3 linked regions of the Oreochromis niloticus genome follow. The protein of the gene in region 1 purifies or fractionates together with the protein of each later gene. This does not show direct contact. Links are inferred from orthologs where the notes say so. Each region holds a gene or a part of one and is shown on either strand. Other genes may lie near its edges.

Region 1 (7,632 bases):
TTAACTTTTCACTGCCTGAGGAACAATAAGAATTGCACTATTAGTTTATAGTCTGAACACTCCCTTCTCATCAGTGCGAGAACACTATTTGAGGTCATTAAGCCACCAAGAATAATTAAAAACCATGATTAAAGCCTGGGATTTGATGCCCCTCCTTTGTGGTAAGGCAGCAAAAATTTAACTGAAGACATCCTTAAAACAGGAAAGATATCCTGTTTCAGCCAGTCGACTCACCCCCTTTTGATGGCATCCAGGAACTCTTGATTCTCTGGAATGGAGTAGCTGCGAAAGTCCTCATCATTTACAGTGAAGCCGTCCTTCCACAGCCTCACCACCATCTCCACCTGGAACAAAAGCAAAAAAAACCCAATCAAATAGGCCTGACAGGATTCAGAGATAAAGTCGCCACACAGCTGTTAACCTCGGAAGGTCAGACTTTTACTGCGGACTGTTTATCCTGGCAACGAACGGGTGAACAAAATATCCTGTGATCACTGAAGCCTGGTGCTTGTGCTTTCAACTGAGATTTGGCTGACAGAGCTCCGCGAGAGCCCTCATTTGGAGAGTCTTACGCCATTTTCACTCACGCACCGCAGGCCATTGGAGGCGAACGTGAGCATGCAATTTTCAACGCAATTAAACAAATGTTTAGCCTGCCGGGTCCCTATTACTAAGGCTTTGTGAGGTTCGTCTGGGCACATGCCAGAAAAACTACAGGTAATAGTTCAGTGATTTCACTGCAGGCAAGTGCGTCCTTCTCCTGCATGATCCGGTCAGGCAGCACCGTCGCCTAATCCAAACAGAGATTCCTTGTTACGTCCTCTTGGTTTGTGCTCTTGGCTTTGAAGCTTAGAAAGTTACTTATTAAATACTTTGATCTGGCACTTAGCTAGATTGTGCATTTTATTTAAATTGCTATGATGCAAACATGAGACTGTTTTTATGCTCCACTGGGACCTGTATCCCATAATAACTTGCAATTAAAAGAAATGTAAACAACAGGAGGTTAATAAGCACACATTTGATTGTCAACAGAGATGATTCTGCCTAACAATGTCATTAAAAATATAAAATTGGAGCATTAGCTATATCAAAATGTCATTTAAGTGCTTTATATTGAATTGATGTATACTGAGTATATGTGTGACATGAACTCTCTTAGGCAGCTTTCTTAGCATTTCCTTTGTTCACCACTGGTTGAAATGCAGTCCTAAACCACGACAGACTCTTCACTATGTTTCACAGATGGCTGTAGACACTCTACCTCTTTTCTGACCCCTCCATTTCTCTCCCCCGTTTCCCTTCCTTAACAACAGCTTCTTGACAGCCTGAGACACTGTGACCATTTCTGATGAGGCTTCAATGAACAGTACATTGGTCAACTGAAGGATAGAGACATCTCTCTGGTCCTGTGTCAGGTCTTTTTCTGGGTTTTTCTCAAGGACATGACTTTAAGATTTTTTTTTTTTAATTCTGTACTTATCCAGTTTCCTCAAATCTTTAATGTTTTTGGCTAATAGCCCTTGAGGAATTACCTTGCTGGTGCAAAAATACTATTTATGCCTCTCTTGTGGTGTTATCTTTGGCAATTTCCATAGTTTCAACTAAAGAATTGTGAACAAATTAAGTGTTTTTGTGGCAGGCTGCCAATAACAAAGTGCCTTAATGATGCAAAAATTGATTCTTTGCTAAGCTGTCAATTATTTATAGACATAACACTAGTTTCACTCCTTAAGTTTGATGCCTTTTTCTACTTAAATGCATTAAGTGGCTTAACAAACAAAAATAACAATCCTGTGAAAATAGTCAGATACAAGGACCGGACTGAAAATGAGTGAAAAAGCAGCCAATGGGAACTACTGATGAAAACCAATTTTAAAAAATGACAAGTAAGTCTGGCTCCTTGGAAGCATAAATATAAACAAATGAAGTGTGGCTTAAGACTCTTGCATAGTGCTGTGTATACTTTACTTAAATGTTGTGTTATTACTAGTCTATAAGCTCAGAAATGTAGGCGGGGCATTTGCAGAGATCTGGCTCTCAAGGTGAATTTGTCTCTGACCTTTGAAGTCCCTGAGGCATCGTAACAGATCTTCTCCACCTCATCGAGGAGGTCTTCTACAGAAAAACTACGACTCATTGGAGGTTCCTCTTCATTGTCCTCACTGACCACCCTTTATGAGAAGAAAGTGCAGGTATTCACTCATCATGCTTACTGAATTCAGTCTACAGTCACAAGCGTTATTGTGCAAGACCATGCAAAGCAAGTTCACACACACACACCCCAAAATATGTTATTATTTCTGTGTCCAACCCAGTTATTTTCAGATTATTTTACAACTACGGGATCAATTCAGTTACAGGACTTCATTTGCCTAGAAGTGGATTTAACAAAAATAATGACTTACCATTGTTCATCTTTCTCACTCTCCACAGTGTCAGTTTCTTTCATGTCTTTCTATGTTTCCCATCTAAGAAACAAGCGAGCACACACACACACACCGTTTTAAAAGCGTGGTTGATGTTCAATATTTTGGGGGGTAACCTTTTATTGTCTTAGCGGCGTATTATGTACACGTGTGCAGTAAAACTGTGCTACACCGCTCAAAAAGGAACTAAAAACTGATCATTTTTCTAAAACATTACGTGATCGATAGATAGCCAGACAGCCAAGCAGCCTGCAGCTTTATCGTTATTTATGCAAGTGGGCGGCAGAAAGCGATGGACCCGCAAAGAGCAAAACACACACGCAGGAGCCGCTCGTAAAAACGAGGATTATTTGTCAGCATAAACACAACAGATGCCCATTAGCATGCGCGCATAAAGGGTAAGGTCGAATAGTGATTTACCAGTCCGTGTTTTAATCGGTTAATCCAGGGCTACACATCTGTAGCCATAAGTTTCAGGATAGCGGTGCTTCTGCTGAGCAATACATGTGACGTAACAGTGCCGTAAATCCACTCCCGATGTCGCGGTTGTACGCTTTCTGTGCTGAACTCAGCAGATCTTCTCTCCCAGCTGAAACTGACGATACAGTATTAGATGGCATGGAAAGCCCACTGGATCCAAACTTGTGTGCGTTTGTTTCTATTTAGAGGTAAGATGTCTCATATGGCTCAACCCTATGGAGGGCTTAAACTGCCAAAATCCAAAACAAATCATTAATGACTAACTAACAAACACGCAGGCAAACAAACAGACAAAAATCATTTAATTTGGTTTTCCGGTACATTTTCTTGTAGAAGCTTCTCATACGCCCTGAGGACCAAAACTAACAAAATTATAAATGAACAGGTAAATAAATCAGTCAAAAACAAAAACAAATAACAATTAAAAAAAAACAAAAAAAACTATCTTACTGAAACGCACAAAATCTCTTTTTGGTTGTGTTAACTGAGTAACAGAGCAACCAAACCTGGCACACAGGTACATCTTCCACACTGAATGTGATCTGCTCATCACACGTTGCTTTGAAGCTGACAGGTGGTCAGTTATGGATATTCTAGGCTCTGACTGCCTCACTGATGCGCCAATACATTTATTACCATATATTTACTATGTTATTCAATGACATCCCGTCTCTCATCAGTAGTTTCAGTCGCTCATTGAGTTGAGAAAAGTTTGTGTTGGATCCAGCCCTCTATGCAACATCACTGGTTATTTTACTCGTAGTTGTTTCAGTGCCTGAATGTATGTAAATCACTTTCTGTGGTCTGTAGTTGCCACATCGCTGTGAATCGCTTCCTGTAGGGGTACAGCTTTAGGCTCATGAAGGTTCTCATCTATATCACATATTATGTTGCCTAACAACCACCTCTCAACAGGTTATAATGACCCATTTGTAGCAGTTATACACTTAAATTACCTTTCACATGCATGACACCACTTTCACTGCACAACATTTACATAACACTTAAAATTGTTGCCCATGTGTTATTGTGAAGCAAAACTTGAATAATGCATGATATATTATGATGTCATTATGTTGCACATTGTAGACCAAACAATACTACAGCATGGTCATTTAATAGTCAAATACAATTCAACACATCAAATATAATTTTACAAAAGATCTTTTTATTTTTCCCCATTCATTTGCTTACTTATTAAATGTGCCTGTTATTTATGATTTTGGCATACGTTTATACTTTTTTGACATAATTATAGAAACATCTGTGCTTGAGATACAATATAGCATCCAAGGTGGCATGTTCAGTATAAACCATACCCTTAAACTTATTTTCATTATCTTTGAATCAATTATCATTGCTAGCAAATGTATTATTATAGTTTTTTTTCACTACTACTTCTAATAAAAGTAGTAATTTAAACTTGACATATGTTGCATCAATTACTAAGCAGCTACACAGTGAAGACAGTGATGTATGGTGTGAAGAACAGGCTGTATCTCTCAAATTATGCCTAGTGAGAGACTAAAAAAATGTTTAAAATTGAAAGGAACCTCTCAATGGTAACAGAATTTAGTCTAGGAGTTGACTTAAATTATATCCAGGAAAATAAGCAAATATGTTTGGTTAACATGAAATCCATGCCTGATCTTTGATAGAGTATTAGTAGAGAATGATTTCAGTGTGCGGGATGACCCTCGACCTTTTCTGCATTTCCACGCCTTCTATTAAACTCTACGAGAACATATAAGCACAGGTAAAGAAATTTCATTTTTCAATCATCTAACCGATATTTTGATGGCGAGATAATGAACTGGACATGTGAATGAATCGTCTAGTTCACTTCATTTGAAATCGACAGCCTGGCTGGAGTGCATTGCCAACTTATGCTCAGAACAGGGTACAAAAAAATGAAAACAGATTCTTGTTTCCATGTGAAAGGTTTAGATTTTCTTACATTTGTATCAAAAATATTTATTTGAGATATCAAATGTGAATATTTTATGGCACAAGGTTCTTAAGAACCCCCCCCAATGTTTTGACGTTGATTTTTAGAAACCATTGCTTGAACCAAAAAAAGAGGAAAAAAAGAAGAAAAAAGCAAAACAGATGGCTAGCACAGTTGTATCTTGACTCGAGCCAGAAATAGAACAGAAAACACACAAAATGTCATTTTTACTTGTGGGGATAAAATGACAGGGAGTGCAGTGAAAGAAGGAAGGCTAAAAGCATCAAAAGGAGAAGAGATTATTATTAATTCAGCCTCTTCTACTACATACTTGAAGGTCACAAAGAATTCAAAATTTGATAGTGAATACAGTTCAGTCCTGTCTTGCAAACAAACAGAGTTTTTCTTTTTTAGGTTGTAGTAATAATAGCTTGTGGGATTATTTGAGTTTTAAAGATTCTGATTGCAGTTTTACAGGGCAAGTCTAAATATTTTTATAATTCACAGACCTTTTACATTAGTTGATGTTTTAATATATATATATTTTTGATGAAGACAAAGAGTGAATTGCTGCACATACTAGGCAACCTGGGAAAAAAACTGCAGACAATTTGTATGATAAAGTGCAGGCTGCCCACTTCCATCTGTTTTCCTGCTGCCGTCAAGTGTACCACCTTTTGTTATTCATCTGGTGACTTATCGTGCTTTAATAGTACTTAGCTGATTCACTGACTGTCCCCAGTGTACAATACAAGTACTTACCCATAGTAACATATCTGCATTAAGAATTACTGCCTTTGTAATATAAAGTATCCATGTAATAACAAAGATCTTTTGGTGGTAATCCAGTCAGCAGAAATGAATGCACCTGCCAAACAGACTTAGAACCACCACACAGAGAGAGAGGGAGAGAGAGGCGGGGAGATAGAGAGGTAGACAGAGAGAGAGAGAGAGAGAGATGGCGCCTCGAACTCGATCCTGCTCTCACTGAGGCAGTGTTCAGAGCCGGTCAGAGAGATTCAGTAAGGGGCAGACAAAAGAAAAAAAAACATGGTGAACACAAGGAAAAGCTCACGGACTAGGAGCGGTCCCTTCATCTCGTCAAGGACTAGGTCGTCGTCGAGAAACGAGCGAAACTCTGAGGAACATGTAAGCCGGTTTCTTTTCTTTACCGGCGAGCTAGCTGGCTGGCTAGTTTGGCTAGCTGGCTGCTAGCCTTGGCCTCAAGGTGCTCCACATAATGTATTATTCACAGCAAAATACGAGCAGTATCGACACTGACACCAACACAGTCACGCAGATACACAGTGCAAGACATGAATGCGGCTAGTCGTTTGCGTGTCCTTCGCACTGAACGGATTGTACAGCTGTCAGATTACAAGCTAGCGTTATGAACTGGCTATAGCTTCAACTTGAGTTCCCTTTGTTTTTGGCAATTTTGACCGGCTGACTTGTTCCACCGTTTTCACCATTAATTAGCCCTCCCAATAAAGACAGTTGGGATTTTGACTCAAGGCTGTTGGCACTACTATGTGTCGCTATCCTCGAAGTGTCAGCTTACTTATTATCTCACATATGAAGGGAGAAAGCGATAGTTAAGCTAGCATTGTAGGTTATAGCTAGCCTAGCAGCTAGCTTAGAGTGGGGGGAAGGGAGTCCCAGGTTCACAACAGTTGGCTGGCTCGGGTCCGTATTTAGCAAGTCTGCACTTGGTGAACTTTCAGTTATAAATGACCTAAAGACCCATGGGCAAGTTGGTTTTTAGACTGTCCGTTTAAAACACACTCGTGGAGTTAAACATTCCCATGTGTTCTTCGAAAGAAAGATTTGATAAATGAGCTTTAGATTTTACTCCCGATCGCCCGACCTACAAGCTGCCTGACAGGCTTTGTTTCAAAATGTAAACATTGTGATTGTGCAAGACGGGAAGGTCCGTATTTCCGTAAAATTTCAATTATTACGGCACTTAACATAGACAAAGAATTCATTTCATCAATGGGAAATATCTGTTGATTGCTGTTTGCGCATTCCTGAGTTTTAGTGGTTTGTTGGATGAGTGGTGGTACGTCGCAGAATTGTGGGTCATGATTCATGAAATACGTGGCTCAGGTCCAGACCAATTGATAGCACCCGATATTGCACTGTGTGAATGTAAAGCTGGACTCTGTGTAACAGAGTTTGCACTTTCCCACCTTTTATTTACATTACCATATCACAAGAAGTCAGTGTAGTGTTGTACTCCATGCAACCAGCCATTTTACTCTGTTAGCTACTTGTTGACCTTGTCAGAACTTGTCAGAACCGACTGTCCTGCTGTGACAGTGTTTGCAGAGTGATTCACATGTGGAAATGATTTCACGGTGCACCTCTTGGGCTGCCTCCATGCATTTCTTCACTCCTGGTACATCCTGCATTTTACCGTCTGTCTGCATCCATCTATCCACACAGTCAGACAAACCCCTCTGTCAGCACTGCAGACAGTTGCCTATGACAACAGTGAGATATGCTCACATATCAGCGGGGAAGTTAGGCTGTGAAGGGCATGAGCATCAAGGGCGTATGTCTGGATGGTGCTGTGCTGAGATTCACAGGGTACATTGAGGAAGTGGGTTCAGGGTGTCTTGTCTCATGACAGTCCTCTATTCTGGATTTGACACTTGCCGATCTTGTTCTCTTCTGTCCTCGATTTTTTTCACCCATTAAATATATTTTTACTTAATATTCAAGGAGACATTGTATGCAGATATTTGTGAAATCTTCTCTCTGTATTTGTTA
Region 2 (7,739 bases), on another chromosome or scaffold:
CTACTCCTTGCATCTTCACTTTTCTACCCATCTCATTCCTCTTTTCTCCAGTGCATACCTCCACCTCAGCAGGATCTGTTCCCTACCCACAATGTCATAATTTTTATTAACAAGCAAAGGTGTAGTTAATTATTTGATGATGGTTGCCTTTTAATGCATGCCGACGTTAAATTTTCTATGTTCTAAGAAACTTTTCTTCTTCTGTCAAACTGTCAGCAGTGAAGATGGGCTGTCTGTACTGAGGCTGTACATTAAACAACATGTCAAACAAACTATCTGTACCCAGAACTCCTGCAGCTCCGTCAGGTGGCTGATGTTTTCTATTTTCTTTACTCGATTGGCTGCGATGTCGAGGGTGGTGAGTTTTTTCTGTTCGGAAAAACAAACATTGCTGTTACATGTTTGCACAATTCAACAGTATGGAACCCTATTTTTTTTATGTGTTTTGGAAATGTGGGACTGAAAGTTTATAACTTACATTGTTTTCCAACCCCTCAATGACCTCAACGCCATTGTGGCTCAGATAGAGCTCCTTCAGGTTGACAAGGTTCTGAAGCCCCTCAATTTTCGTAATCCGGTTGCTCTGCAAGTAAATGCAAACCCAATGATTATCTGTTGTCTGGATCGTGTGCAACTGTAATCAAGTGATGAATGTATGTGAGGATACCTGGATGCTTAAAACAGTCAGGTTGTGTAAAGCGTCCAGATTTTGAAGCCTTGTTATTTTATTAGTGCCAAGAAACAAACTTTGCAAAGATGTAAGTGAATCCAGGTTTTCAATGACCTGTGAACACAACAACATGAAGGCAACACTTCAAAATTACATGACAACTTACATTTTCCAACAAATCGTCATTTATATTTTGCAAACAAAACCCATTATTTACATAAGGAGTTCAAAACAACTTCTCAGTGCAGCACAGTCCCTTTGTATCTCACCCTAATGCGATTGGAGCCGAGCTCCAGCATCTCCAGACCTGTGAGGTGCTCCAGATTCCCAATGCTGCTAATTTTGTTGTGAAGCAGAAAAAGTTTCTTCAGCCGAGTCAACTGCTCCAAACCCTCCACCTTCCTCAAAACGTTAAATGACACGTCAAGCTGCCTGTGGGTTGTCAAAACAACAGTCCCTCTCAGAATAAATATACCTTGATATGTGAGACCTTTGTTCAGGCTTACGTAAGAAGCACAGTTTTGTCAAACTTACTCCAGCTCCGTGAGGTTGTGCAGATTCTCCAGTTTGCGGATCTGATTGTCATAGAAATCTAGTTCCCGCAGGGCACTCAAACTGTCGAGGTTTTCTATCTTTTTAATGAGGTTCTGCCGTAAGGAGAGCGTCTGCGTGCAGAGGAGAGGCAAAAATAAAAGAGGATACCATCAAGAGCAGAATTATGGCGCATTAGATAGGTCCTTATTTTAGATATGAAAAAAAAAAATGCAGATGAAACCAAAATGCCAATAAGACTCAGGCGGTAATGACACTGCCGCCAAACGCATCACCTAAATAATACTTACTTTAGCCTTCTGTAGCACCTCTAGTCCTTCAATCTTTCCAATACGACAGTGAACAAGATCAACATCCTAGAAAGAAATATAGACACCGTAAGAGATCAGGCAGTCTATGGTTAATTGCCGTTATGGCACAGCACCTACATACAGATTTACACAAAGAAGTTCAAATTTAAAAAAAACAAAAAACCTACTGTTATTATGAGCTCTAACACTATCGTCTTCACTTTCTTAAACTACAAACAAAAGTCATCAGAGATGAAAGGCATTTTCTTCAAAACTTCCACTGACCTCTTCCTCAGGGTCCAAAGTTATCGTGTCCATGTCAACAGGAGACTCTTCTTTACCTTTAATATGAGCAAGAATAAATGAAATAAAATTAAAGCATCCACTGCTATCAAAAAATTAAAAAAATTAAATATTGCCACATAAAGATTTTATCTAAGAAAGTATCCATGTGAAAATAACACAAGCAGCACGCCTAATTTGTAAAATAAAGCACATTCTGTGTGGCTGGGTAGGAGGTGATGATGACCTACTCGTAGCAGTGGGCTGATTAGGGTCCACATCGCCATTGATGCTCTTCCTCCTGGTTTCATCATCACCAGACTCCTCAGACTCTCCCCTCCGGTCCACTACAGTACGCAGACAGAAGAGAGCCTCAAAACCTCAACAAAGATTCACAGCTTCCGACCGGTTACACACACACACACACACACACACACACTTAGATGATGCCAAGCCCAGGTTTATCTGGAGCAGCCACCCTCTGTCTCCACTATCACTAGATCGTGATAGTGCACATTTCTGTGCTCTGTAACGCGCTCAAATTGTGGAAAAATGTGTGGAAAAATGGGATAGCACTACCACAGATTTTACCTATTCGTATTAAATGTTGCGGGATGTGTCCCAGCTTTATTTTCATTTTTTAAAATCAGTTTGAACGCGCGTTACCTACTGAACACACGGGCGACACATTGCTAAGCACGTTAGCCAGCTAGGTAGCTGACTGTATCACAGCTAGCAGCTTTTACGAGCTGAATCTGAAACATGTTGCATGGTCGAGGAAAAAATAAACGTCTATGACCATGGGGTACCCAACACACCCTGAAACGCCGCTGTAGATGGCCTTTATAAAGATAGCATGAACTGACGTTAAATTAATATCGCCAGCTAGCGTCTTGTTATTAGCCTGTAAGCTAGCAAAGCAAGGATGAAGGTTTGGTTAGTCACCAGAGAAAAACATCAAGGAGCGTGCTCAGATGAAAAAAGACTCTTTTAAACAAATGGCTGCCAGGCTAACAAGCTATAACGATCACAACGCGGCTGCACCCTTGAAAATTTGGCTACTCACCTTCCATTTCTTGAAGCTCTCCAACAGACAGGGAAGCCATGTTTCCTGTAAACACTACTGACAACCGCGCAGCCAATCCAGTGGAAGCATACGCTGACATCAGACACAAGGGGGCGCTGAAGGCCGCTGGAAACGAGCATCAACAAATTATACGGTAAGGTTTATATAACTCAGGACATAAACGTAACACTAGTTGACAAGAAAGTACCGTTATTGAACTTGCATTATTCAGTATATAATTTCAAATGCAAGCTGCTTTTATTTCCTCTCTTTTTCTGTAACTTATTGGATTTCACACGGTACACCTGAATATAAATCTGCTAGACTGCACAGTGCAGTTTTTTTTTTTGAAGGATCTGTTCAGCAGATGTTATACATGCAGTTAGAGCTGGACTGGGACAAAAAATCGGGCCTAGCATCAGGTTGGTAGAGTTGTTGTAGGGTTAGTTCTTAGTTGCCCTGCAGCATGGGACAATTAAAAGCTACACATTTAAAAGCAATTAGCAATGACTCATGATCAAATCAGCCATTAATTTCATCTGAATCCTTGAATCTCTACCTTCCTAATTATGTCCCTTCATCTATTTTCTTACCACGTTAATTTCATCTTCCTCTGTCGCTTCCTGGCTTCTCCACAGCTGGTGGTTGCGGCAGGAGCACAGCTGTGACTGTGAGGTCTGGTTACTAGTTGTTACTACTGTTCTGCAGCAGCACCGACACCTAACATGTTGGTTAATTTTAGCATTGTAACCCCTTTCAGACTGATAGATGTTAATAGCTTTGTTTGTCTGCAGTTTCTTTAGATTGCGACCAGTAACTGTATTAAAGTTGTTTTCCTTGATTGTGATACAGTGTGTTTCTTTTTGAAATCTTATCCTACTTCACTTTGTCAGACAGGGTCTAAGTATATTCTTGATTCAGCAGGTCTGCATTAATCAGGCCTGGGTGTGGGTAGTGAAATTGAGCTCATTTTTTTTTTTTTTTTTTTTTTTTTTAAATGTGTTAATTCAGTTACAGGTAATTCATGATTTAATAAGGTTGCAGTTAGTTTCTTACACAGGGCTGGGTAGGTTTGGATAGCATTTTCTCTTAATAAATGAGATCATTTAAAAACTTTATTTTGTATTTACTCTGGTTATATCTAATATTAAAATTTGTTTTACGATCTTAACTTTTTAAGTGTGACAAATATGCAAAAAAAAAAAAAGAAAAAAAAGAAAGAAAGAATGTAAAGAAACATACTTTTTTAGGGCACTGTATGTCTTTGTAGGTTCTTAGTCATCCAGCTCATGGTAGGCTTAAGTGCTTGAAATGAAGGCACCTGGATTTCTTTTTGATTTATGAAGATGGTTCATTTCTAGTAGGAGAGTCCCAGATAGGATTGTCCTGTTGGAGGTGGTTCTGAGTCACTCACACACCCTGTCATCATGTAATTAGTTAAAAGTCATATGAGCCACGAGTGTGAATCACGGCAAGGGTCATTAAAGTGCCAAGACTCCTTGGTGAGATATTACCCCACCTTGCCATCATGTGCGCCAGTGAGGTCAAAGTGTATGACTATCAGAATCCCCTCCACTGCAAGGTTGCATACTGCAAAATAAGTCCAAATGCATATCCCATGATGCATTGAGCATTTCTGCTTTACTCACCTCTTTTATCTGTCTACCCTGTGTACCCCCAACCAGTCACAGCGAATGGCTGCCCCCCTGGTTCAGCTGGTGGTTTCTTCCTGTTGAAAAGGAATGTTTCCTACCCAGTATCACCAGCTGTTAGCTCATAGGGGGTCATCTGATTGATCATCATCAGATTTAATTGTTGGGGTTTTTGCTGTGTTATTGTAGGATCTTTACCTGACAATATAAGGCACGTTGAGGCGACTGTTGTTGTGATTTGGTGCTATATAAATAAAACTGAATTGAACTGAATTGAATTTCTTGTATCTTGTGATTGGAAGGTCTGTTATTTTATTTGTGTTTTAAGTGATTATTTGGCTCGGACTGTAAAAATGTCGATGTTTATGTAGCACATTAATGACTCAAAAGCAGGAGAGATGACAATTTAAAGTGAGCAGCATAACCACTTATACAAGGTGAAAAAGGGTGCTTGAAGTAATTCTGTCTGATGTAACATAAAACAGCCCTGTCTCTGTTACATTTCCTGCACTACCACAACAGGTTGTTTATACGACCACTTCCCATGCGTGCTGCGTACCGCCCATCTTAAGAATTCCCTTGCATAAGACTGAGGCACTGCTGTCATCCACAAGAGACCTGATTACAACATCAGCATCCAGATAGTTAACATTTCTAAAAACATAACAAACAGACACTGCCGATTTGAGCCCATGGTGTCTAATCAATGTGTTTCTGTTATGATGACATGAGTGTGATTGTGTAACGTGTTAGATATGATTTTTTTAAAAAGGAACATACAATTCTTACTTGACATGTTATCGGGGGTAAGCAGAGGTGTGTCAGCCGGGATAGGAGAATAAAGGTTGTTTTCATGCTTAACTAGCAGCTAAATATGTTTCTAAGCTGCACCTCCCAGAATCATTGACCAGTCATTTCAAGACACAAATGTAAATATTAACTCTTCAGAAGAGTAATGACAAAATTAGAACATTTGTTTGAAAGTTGAAGGCACAGCAAACATATAAACCGCAGAATGTACCATATACAGGTGGGTCCATAAGTCATTTTTTTCCTCGGTACACCAGCACAAAGGATTTTAAAAAAAAGAAAAAGATATTTAAGATTAAAGACTATACATACTGTAATCTGCTAAAGTATTGTGTTAACTGTTTGTACTACAGCAATTCTTATGCACTCTCCCCCAGAGGCTAAATTGGCAGAGAACAATGTAATGGCCCCATGAGGATCTGTCTGGTCCCTCGTTATTCCATGATACAAAGAGGAGTAAATGTATTTTAGTAGTAAGCGCAGACATCTTTTTTTCCTCCTGTGGTGGCTTCAGTCTGCTGATTTGTTTTGCCTTTGTATTGAATTTCCTCTTTTGAGTGTATAACTCGATAACTCAGAGACATCACAACCCAGCCTGAAGTTAAGCGCACTGACTCCATAATCCACAAATGTATTTATTCTTAACATTTGCACCAATTCATACATGCATTCCAATGCGTTTTATTTTGATCACATTGCTAATTGGAAGGTCAGGCTCCTCCAGCATGTATGTCAAAGTATCCTTGGGCAAGATATTAAAACCCAAGTTGCCCCAGATGCATCCATTGAAGTATGTGTGTGCAAATGTTAGGCAAAGTGCTTATTGACATAGAAAGAAGCACACGTACAAATGTTTGTGTGTATGGCTGAATAACACTCGTAGTAAGAAGATGCTCTAAGTGCTCACACAGAGTAGAAAAGTGCTATACGTAAAGTCAATTTAAGCATATAAAATGAGTTTCATTGTTTACACTTTCAACACATCTCTGACAGCAGCCAGCAGCTGTGTTAAACATTCAGACTGTGTAATATCACCCAACAGTTTTTCATTGAATGTTTGTTTCATCTCCCCATCATATGCTGCTACTCTTTATCCATTTGCACAATACTATGTCACTTTTATTCGATATCATATTTTGCACTATCCTACTGTATATTACTGTATACTTGTATTCTATTGTACATATTGTATATCTTATTACTCTGTTCCTCTGTCTCTCTTGCTGCATTGAGCATGTGTATGACAAAAGAATTTCCCTCGGGATAAATAAAGTTCTTCTTATCTTATCTTAAACTGGACTGACTGCAGGATTTGATCAGATTCTGCTCTCAGGGATAACAGGCTCAGGGTTATCCCTCTATAAACACCTTAAATTTAGTGCGTCTCCCCCAAAACCACACTCACTGGCCACTGTATTAGGTACACATATCTAGTGCAGTGTTGGAGCCCCTTTCCCCTTCAGAACTACATTGATTCTTCCTGGCATAGATTCAGCAAAGTGCTGGAAACATTTTCCTTTTCCTGTTCTTAGCTGACAGGAGTGGCACCTGCTGCAGTCTTCTGCCGTTCTAGTCCATCTGCTTCTAGGTTCATGCTGTGCGCTCAGAGATGCTCTTCTGCATACCTTGGTCATGAGTAGTTTTTCAGTTACTGTTGCCTTCCTACCAGTTCGAAGCGGTCTTACAACGTTAACAAGACATTTTCCCATAGATAACTGCTGGCCAGAGCATGTCTGGCACCAACAACCATGCTCAAAGTCACTTAAATCATATTTCTTCATCATTCTGATGTTAAGTTTGAATTTAAGCAGGTCTTCTTGATCAGCTCTACATGCACGGAGTTACTGCAGTCCGATTGGCTGATTGGATGAGTGTACCTAATGAACCTGCAAGTCAGTGCATACCTGCCGTAGAAACACAAGCAGGGTAGAATAAAGTAATAGAAACATACAGGTGGCAGTCGAACTAGAGTCCTTGAATAAGTCAGAGTCGTGTCAGGGTTCAGAATTCGTCACGTGATAGGCGGTGACGGTGCTTATCGGTGGATTTAAATTAGGAGACAGTCCGGCAACTTTTGACAATTATGAATCTATAAATGCGTTGAGTTACAATATTTACATACAAATGGAACAAATGAAAAAAGATGACGCGATGGCTCTCATTTTAATTATTTACGGTTTCCATGGTTACCCAGCTCTGTTTTGAATTATCAGTCGAGTCCTTTGCTCTGACTTCATAACTTCGCTGTTTTGAAAGCTACCTTAAATGACCTTTGACTGCCCCCCACGCCCCCCGCACCACCACCACCACCACACACACTCACAACAACTCCACCTCACCGGACAGCCAAAAGAAAAAGCAAGGCGGAAGCCTGAAGTCAGGTGAACCGAAACGTAAAAGCCTAGAGATAAGGATCG
Region 3 (7,268 bases), on another chromosome or scaffold:
TTCAAACTAGTTTTTGTTTTTCTTGTTTTTTTTTCCTGATAATAAAATCACAGAGTTTCTTTCAAGGACAAACTTCATGAAACATCAGAACAAGCAGCTTTTTCAGGACTGACTCTACAGCCCTGTGCCAAATATTCCATTGTTCCAAACTCAGCATAAGAGCAGAATATCAGTTGTTTTGTTTTTGTGATTTAGTTTTCATTTTTTTATGATGACTTTCAATTATTTCATAATCTGCAGAATCCCAACAGACGAGCCACTGGACGCCCACAGAAAATCCCACTGATAACAACAACCCCACTGCGAAACCACCAGCATCTTAAAACATACCACAGTGCTTGCCTGCTCTGCAGGCCTACTTGTTGTTCCTAGAGTATTTAAAAGTAGAATGGGAGGCAGAGCCTTCAGTTTTCAGGCCCCTCTTCTGTGGAACCAGCTTCCAGTTTGGATTCAGGAGACAGACACTATCTCTACTTTCAAGATTAGGCTTCAACCTTTCCTTTTTGCTAAAGCATATAGTTAGGGCTGGACCAGGTGACCCTGAATCCTCCCTTAGTTATGCTGCAATAGACGTAGGCTGCCGGGGATTCCCATGATGCATTGAGTTTTTCCCTTCCAGTCACCTTTCTCACTCACTATGTGTTAATAGACCTCTCTGCATCGAATCATATCTGTTATTAATCTCTGTCTCTCTTCCACAGCATGTCTTTATCCTGTCTTCCTTCTTTCACCCCAACCAATCACAGCAGATGGCCCCGCCCCTCCCTGAGCCTGGTTCTGCCGGAGGTTTCTTCCTGTTAAAAGGGAGTTTTTCCTTCCCACTGTGGCCAAAGTGCTTGCTCATAGGGGGTCATATGATTGTTGGGTTTTTCTCTGTATTTATTATTGTGCGATCTACTGTACAATATAAAGCGCCTTGAGGCGACTTTTGTTGTGATTTGGCGCTATATAAATAAAATTGAATTGAATTGTAAGTTTTGGCACTGAACCTAAACAGTAAAAGAAAAAGTAAAAGTCAACAGGCCATCTAAAAACACTGAAAACTGGTGGTGGCCATATTTGCTTAATTATGTTTCTCAGCCTGTGTGCTGGAAGAAAGATAAACTCACACTTTGAAGACCTTCTTCCCAAATGCTCGTTGTCAACAGTGTCACTGGACCACTCCACCTTCTTCTCAGTCTTCCTCTTCCTCAACTTGATTGTCAAGCTTCGTCCCTCCTGTAACATGTAAGAGGTCTACTGTGAGACATCACAAACAAACCACAGTATGAACTGTGAATCCTGCACTCACACTCCATGACATCTATCATTTGTAGGACCTTCTTGTTCTCTCTATGGCGTCATGGGCATGCTATTGTTTCTTGCTCTCTAAAACATGTCCTCACTCAGGTGATAGAGCAGGTCACCTACTAATCAGAAGGTTGGTGGTTTGATCCCTGTTTGCTCCAGATACTAACCCCAAGGACTTATTCCTCTGATGTATCAGACTCTAAATGTGTATGAATGTTAGACAGATACAAGCGCTAATGGGTTAAGTTGTGGAAAGTGCTTTGAATGCTCAGAGCAGAAACGTGCTATATAAGAACCAGTTTACATACCATGACCATCAGTCTGACAATATTTTAAAGGCCTAACTTAAAATAAATTGCAAACACTGAAATCAGAATCAGAATACTTTATTGATCCCTAGGCGAAATTATTTCCCCTATAAGTATTGAAATACTTCTAATTATGACAACATCTGCAGTAAACAGTCTGTATCAGTAGGACTACGAAGATTTGTGTAAAATGATACACAAAGTATGTTGTAGCCAAACACGAGTATGCCTCTTAATATCCTTTAAGACTTCTTCTTATTTAAAAGTCAAACAGGACTATGCACATATTTAAAAAGAAAAAAATGTGCAACAATTTTAAAAAAAAAAAAAAGTCAAGCCGTGAGGGTTGGGAGGGGTGAGGGGGTTTAAGGTACAAACTATTAAAGAGCACCTGCCTCAGAAATGACACAAAGCTGGGGTTACCGGGTATGTATGCTAGCAGAGACCAATCCCTTTGCCCCATGGTGCCAACAGATGGGCCTGTCTGCGCTACATCTTTTTCCCACTCTAACTGACTATGGGAATTTCAGGTAATGGAGGTCTGACTGTGTTTATCTGAGCAGTACAACTTGAAATACGATTTGAACAGAGTGTATTTAACATGTAAACCGGATGCTCCTGCTGCTTTAGACATTATGCAACAATACTACAGATTCGGGTTGTTAATTGAAAGCTGTTTAACTTTCACACAGCAACGCTGAGATATTCAGCACTTAGCCCGCTATCGGCTTTCCATAATGCTACCGCGCTACTAGCAGCCCTGTCATTTAAATAAGCCTAACGTAACTAACATATCAGGCCTCACGAAGCTTCCCGTGTAATAACATGAACGCTGATCTCTTTAATGTACACTGTCACTGGCTGCCAGAGCAGTCCAACTGTCTCACGAACAGCTGTCCATCGTTTACCTGCTGGGGCGGCGGCGGTGTGCTCGTCTGAACTGTCTCAGTTATGGTCTCACTGGATGTTCCTGGAACCTCCGCCATCCCTGCCGCTGCTTTGCTAACGCTACCGTTAACTAGCTTAAAGATGCAAAAGAAACGAAGCAGAGCGTCAACAATGAGCGACACCGCGTTAGTCGACAGCTAACCGACTAACCTTCCGCTCTTTAACTCCAAAAATCGCACTGAATGGAAAAAATGTCAACCCACAGTTACTAGGTGTGGGGCAGCGGTGGCTACAGTCAAAGCACAAAACGCGTTAGCCAGGGTCGGAACGGAAACGCACGGCTCCTCGTTAAAACTATCAGCTCTGGGAACCATCACCACACACAAAAATAATCACATGACAGTAGTCGCTGGGCTATATCATTATATAATGTGTGGAATTAAATGGTTTAGATAGTTAATTGGATAGAAAACTCTGTTTCCACAATTTATTTTATTTTTAAACTCAGGAAGGATGTTCCGGTTCCTCTTAGCTTTAACTTGAAACCAGTGACTGTAGAAAACACTACAGTCATTGCTAGAAACGCTGTGTGGGGAAGATATTTCCAGACGGACCAAGTGTGTTTCCTGTTGTCCGTGAAGATTTAATAGCCCGTCAACAAACAGCACAAAATCATACTGGAACATCGTTTCGTCACGGGTTTAATTTTGTGTAAAGCTTCCATACAAACGTCTGTCCTCAGGTTGGCAGGGACAAAGTAGTTAAGTTACACGGCTGTGGCTGGCATGTGTGGGCATTCTAGCGTGTAAAGTTACCGAGGATGTGGAGGACAGGTACTGGTCCGAGTCTGGGGAGGGCAGCCAGACTCTGTTCCAGCACCCCACCAAAAGCTTCTCACACAAACTTCACTGCACGGCCCCACGCCGAGAAGCAGAGGCGCAGACGAGTGCGGGAGGAGGGCATCCTATCGAGTCAGCATGGTGTAAGTTAGAGGGAGGCAAAGCACGAAGGCTAAAGCTCTCTGTCAAATCCTCCAAGGAAAGAGTACTAGTGCGTTTGTGTGTATTTTTACGGATATACTGGCATCGTTGTATTAATAATAGCAATAATAATGTAATAGTTTAATGCTGCACTCATTAGTTACCTCTGCCTCCCATTCTACTTTTAAATACTCTAGGAACAACAAGTAGGCCTGCAGTGTGAGAGCGAAGTGCTCTAATAGGGTGATATGGTACTACAAGGTCATTAAGATAAGATGGGGCCTGATTATTTAAGACCTTGTATGTGAGGAGCAGGATTTTGAATTCTGGATTTAACAGGAAGCCAATGAAGGGAAGCCAAAACAGGAGAAATCTGCTCTCTCTTTCTAGTCCCTGTCAGGACTCTTGCTGCAGCATTTTGGATTAACTGAAGGCTTTTCAGGGAGTTTTTAGGACATCCTGATAATAAAGAATTACAGTAGTCCAGCCTGGAAGTAATGAATGCATGAACTAGTTTTTCAGCGTCACTCTGAGACAGGATATTTCTAATTTTAGAGATGTTGCACAAATGGAAGAAAGCAGTCTTACATATTTGTTTAATATGTGCATTGAAGGACATGTCCTGGTCAAAAATGACTCCAAGGTTCCTCACAGTGTTACTGGAGGCCAAGGTAATGCCATCCAGAGTAAGAATCTGGTTAGATACCATATTTCTAAGATTTTCAGGGCCGAGTACAATAACCTCAGTTTGATCTGAATTAAGAAGCAGAAAGTTAGCGGCCATCCAGGTCTTTGTGTCTTTAATTGATGCTTTCATTTAATAAAATTATTCAAACCTACACAGCCATCTGTGAAAATCAGTTGCTGTTCGTGCTGGAAAATCTGTCCAATGTGTCTAACTGGAAACAATCGTGCAAAGCAGAGTGGGCTAAAATTCCTCCACAGTGATGTGAAAGAGTCATTGGTTGTTAACTCAAACACTTGATTGGACGTCTTGAGGGTAGCACTACCAGTTATTGGGTTTAGGGGACAATTACTTTACACACTTTTGTGTTTGAACCGTGTTGACTTGTGACTTGTTCAGTGCTGTTTTAATGGACTCTGTCCATTATGGTGTCATAAATACAGTTATGAGAGAATAAATACATAGCTGAAGCTGCCAGTTAGACCAGCTCTGATGTTTCTGTTTGCAGAGTGCTGAAGGTAAAGCAGTAAAGTGGAGTGAGAAGCAGAAGATTGCTTATACCGGTCCTACACCTCCTGGGGCAAAGAAAGGTGACTCTCCTGTAACCCCCGTTGGCTTGGCTCTCTCTTCTCCTTGCAGGCTCTGAAAGTCCTTTTTCTTTTTCCCTACAGACACTAGCTTACCGTTCCCGTCTTGTTACAGTCCAGAGTATGTGGAGTCCAGCTGGTATCAGTGGTGGGAGAAAGAGGGATTCTTCAGTCCTGAGCAACACGTAAACATGTGATCTTGTTAAATCAAATTATTACCATTGCAGTTAGAAATGAATTCACTTTAATGCAGTTTTTTGCAGTTTCTATGAAACAAACTAAGTGATTAATCAGCTAAGCTTTCATATGTGATTTCCCTGCAACGTGCACGCTTTTTATTAAGTGATGCAGAAAATGGATGAACAGTTTTAGAGCACTGATCAGAAAACATACATCTGTATTTGTCACAGACAGTTTTCAATACATACAATTACTTCTACTTTGGTCATATTTTCAGGCATCAAAAGTGAACTTTATGTACTTTCTGACCATTGTCCTGCCAGCAGTGCTCTCTTTATTTGCTGTACAGCAGTTTGTTTTTTCTACAATAATTATTTTTATTGTAGAAAAAATATTGCTTTGCTTCTCCTGTTCATTTGACAGGAGAAGGCAGGTTTCTGTGGTTTCCTCCTGTGTTGTTTTTGCTTTGCTTTTTCTTTTTCTCTCACCAGGTGATGAAGCAGATTTTCAGTGTTTGTTTTTTTTTCTCCCTCCCTCTTCATCTCGAGTTTTTCCTCCTCTTCTCCCCAACTTCTCTGTCCCTCGTCTTTCCTGTCCCCTGGTCCTGTCCATTCTGATTGTAATAATTCAAAATAAATAAAAATAAATAAATAATAATAATAAAGGTTGAATAAAATATGACAATCACGTGGACCGGTATGGCAAAAAGCCATAATGATCTATTTGGGAAGGCCTATTTTTCTGGGCCTTCAGACAATCATTGTGATTGTAAGAACAGAAAAGTGCATCTTCCTCAGATGTGATCACGCTGCAAGCCTGACCACCTCAGAGTTGGTCAGAGCAATCTGATTGTATTTCATTTTTAATGTATTCAAGTTATCCAGGTAAAGGTGGCACGACAAGGAGCAAAAAAGTCTTCACTCAGTCTCAAAAGTCCACCTTAATGTTCCATTTCATTTGAATCTGAACGTGTGTTTTTTTTTTTTTTTTTTTTTTTTTTTTTTAAATCATTTCATTTTATTTGGGTTTAGAAGTCAAGTTAATATTTTCAATTATTAGAAAATATACGTTACTAAAGCACGAGCAACAGTACTACGATATATTACGATATATTTGATTACAGCAAAGGAAAAAGTTGCTCTTCAGAGCGAGTGTGCACACACACAAGTCATGTGTTTCCCTTCCTGCTCTCAGGAACGGCTGCCCCACGCTGTGGATCAGACCTTCTCTCTGTGTATTCCTCCACCAAACGTGACTGGGACTCTGCACCTGGGCCACGCTCTGACAGTAGCTGTAGAGGATGCACTGGTTCGATGGTAACTATCAACAGCAGAGCAGCATGTTTTCTTTGTTCTCTAAGCTCATCTGTTGATGGTTTGTATCCACCAGGAGAAGGATGCAGGGCTGCAGAGTGCTGTGGGTGCCTGGATGTGACCATGCAGGTATCGCAACGCAGGTACGCGTAATGACGGTTTGGCTCACATGTTCTCAGGTGTCTCTCAGAGTAACATCAAAGTATGGAAACTGCTAAAAATCACACATTTATATCAAATTCCATTTTTAAGGCTGAAGATTGTCGTTGCAACGCTTGTGGCACATGCTCAGTGCTGTAGAGTGTCGATGTGCTCGTGTTTTAGACGGTGGTGGAGAGGAGACTGCTGAGGCAAACAGGGAGGCACAGACGAGACTTTAAGAGGGACGAGTTTCTGGAGGAGGTGTGGAAGTGGAAGAATGAGTGAGTCCTCACATCTGGACTTCTGAGCACATCTGCTGTGTGGCCTACACAGTGTTTGCTGAGTTTTGAGCTTCTGTTGCAGGAAAGGAGACGAGATCTACCACCAGCTGAGGAAGCTTGGAGCTTCTCTGGACTGGAGCAGAGCCTGTTTCACTATGGACCCAGTAAGACTCGAGTCACACATGTTCCTGCTCTGGTTCCTTACTCTACGATTCAACGTGTTGATGGAGATTTACATATGAAGCCATCCCAGGAAGATAATCTCAACCATCCTAATGAGCTGATTTATGAAACTGTACAAATAACTGCAGCGGTACAAAGGGAGATGAATATGAAACTCTAGTGCGATGTAAGCACATACACCACATATACACGATGGGTAGAGATGATAAGTCATTCCTAGCGTCCCTGCTTCCAGTAAGGCAGATTTATTTATTTTTAGCCATCTCTGCCTCCTCACCACGGCGCACACACAGGCTCGTCTAAATGATTCAGAGAAATCTCACCATCCCGTGGCCATTAGAATTGCAGAGTGAAACACTGAAGTTGAGCTGTACAATTGGCTGTAGTGCTGAATGGGGGAAACATGAGCACCTTTAACTGTTTATCCTGCTT

The links. Proteins that work in one complex are often made in the same cells at the same time.
Region 2: the proteins of ubxn2a (region 1) and ppp1r7 purify together in Homo sapiens (affinity purification with mass spectrometry; 3 studies listed by BioGRID and IntAct, counting the BioPlex papers as one, with this or other methods). This does not show direct contact. The link is inferred for Oreochromis niloticus from reciprocal best matches to the Homo sapiens genes UBXN2A and PPP1R7.
Region 3: the proteins of ubxn2a (region 1) and ppp1r11 purify together in Homo sapiens (affinity purification with mass spectrometry; 3 studies listed by BioGRID and IntAct, counting the BioPlex papers as one, with this or other methods). This does not show direct contact. The link is inferred for Oreochromis niloticus from reciprocal best matches to the Homo sapiens genes UBXN2A and PPP1R11.

What each region holds. Positions count from the first base shown.
Region 1 is NC_031980.2:3,667,525-3,675,156, forward strand, and holds the start of ubxn2a (UBX domain-containing protein 2A), read right to left. Parts: upstream 3,003-7,632; 5' UTR 2,850-3,002; intron 2,472-2,849; 5' UTR 2,453-2,471; coding exon 2,409-2,452; intron 2,175-2,408; coding exon 2,063-2,174; intron 345-2,062; coding exon 235-344; intron 1-234. Other genes in the region: atad2b (ATPase family AAA domain-containing protein 2B), read left to right, coding at 5,908-6,006. UniProt on the Homo sapiens protein: Acts to repress the ubiquitination and subsequent endoplasmic reticulum-associated degradation of CHRNA3 by the STUB1-VCP-UBXN2A complex in cortical neurons.
Region 2 is NC_031982.2:16,066,404-16,074,142, reverse strand, and holds the start of ppp1r7 (protein phosphatase 1 regulatory subunit 7), read right to left. Parts: upstream 3,005-7,739; 5' UTR 2,961-3,004; coding exon 2,861-2,960; intron 2,825-2,860; exon of another isoform or gene 2,753-2,824; coding exon of another isoform or gene 2,740-2,752; intron 2,142-2,739; coding exon 2,046-2,141; intron 1,854-2,045; coding exon 1,798-1,853; intron 1,579-1,797; coding exon 1,513-1,578; intron 1,336-1,512; coding exon 1,205-1,335; intron 1,103-1,204; coding exon 940-1,102; intron 785-939; coding exon 668-784; intron 584-667; coding exon 479-583; intron 370-478; coding exon 283-369; intron 1-282. UniProt on the Homo sapiens protein: Regulatory subunit of protein phosphatase 1.
Region 3 is NC_031985.2:37,932,323-37,939,590, reverse strand, and holds the start of ppp1r11 (E3 ubiquitin-protein ligase PPP1R11), read right to left. Parts: upstream 3,005-7,268; 5' UTR 2,861-3,004; coding exon 2,750-2,860; intron 2,621-2,749; coding exon 2,507-2,620; intron 1,219-2,506; coding exon 1,110-1,218; intron 1-1,109. Other genes in the region: vars2 (valine--tRNA ligase, mitochondrial), read left to right, coding at 3,307-3,468, 4,660-4,741, 4,823-4,923, 6,113-6,234, 6,308-6,374, 6,556-6,653, 6,736-6,817. UniProt on the Homo sapiens protein: Atypical E3 ubiquitin-protein ligase which ubiquitinates TLR2 at 'Lys-754' leading to its degradation by the proteasome.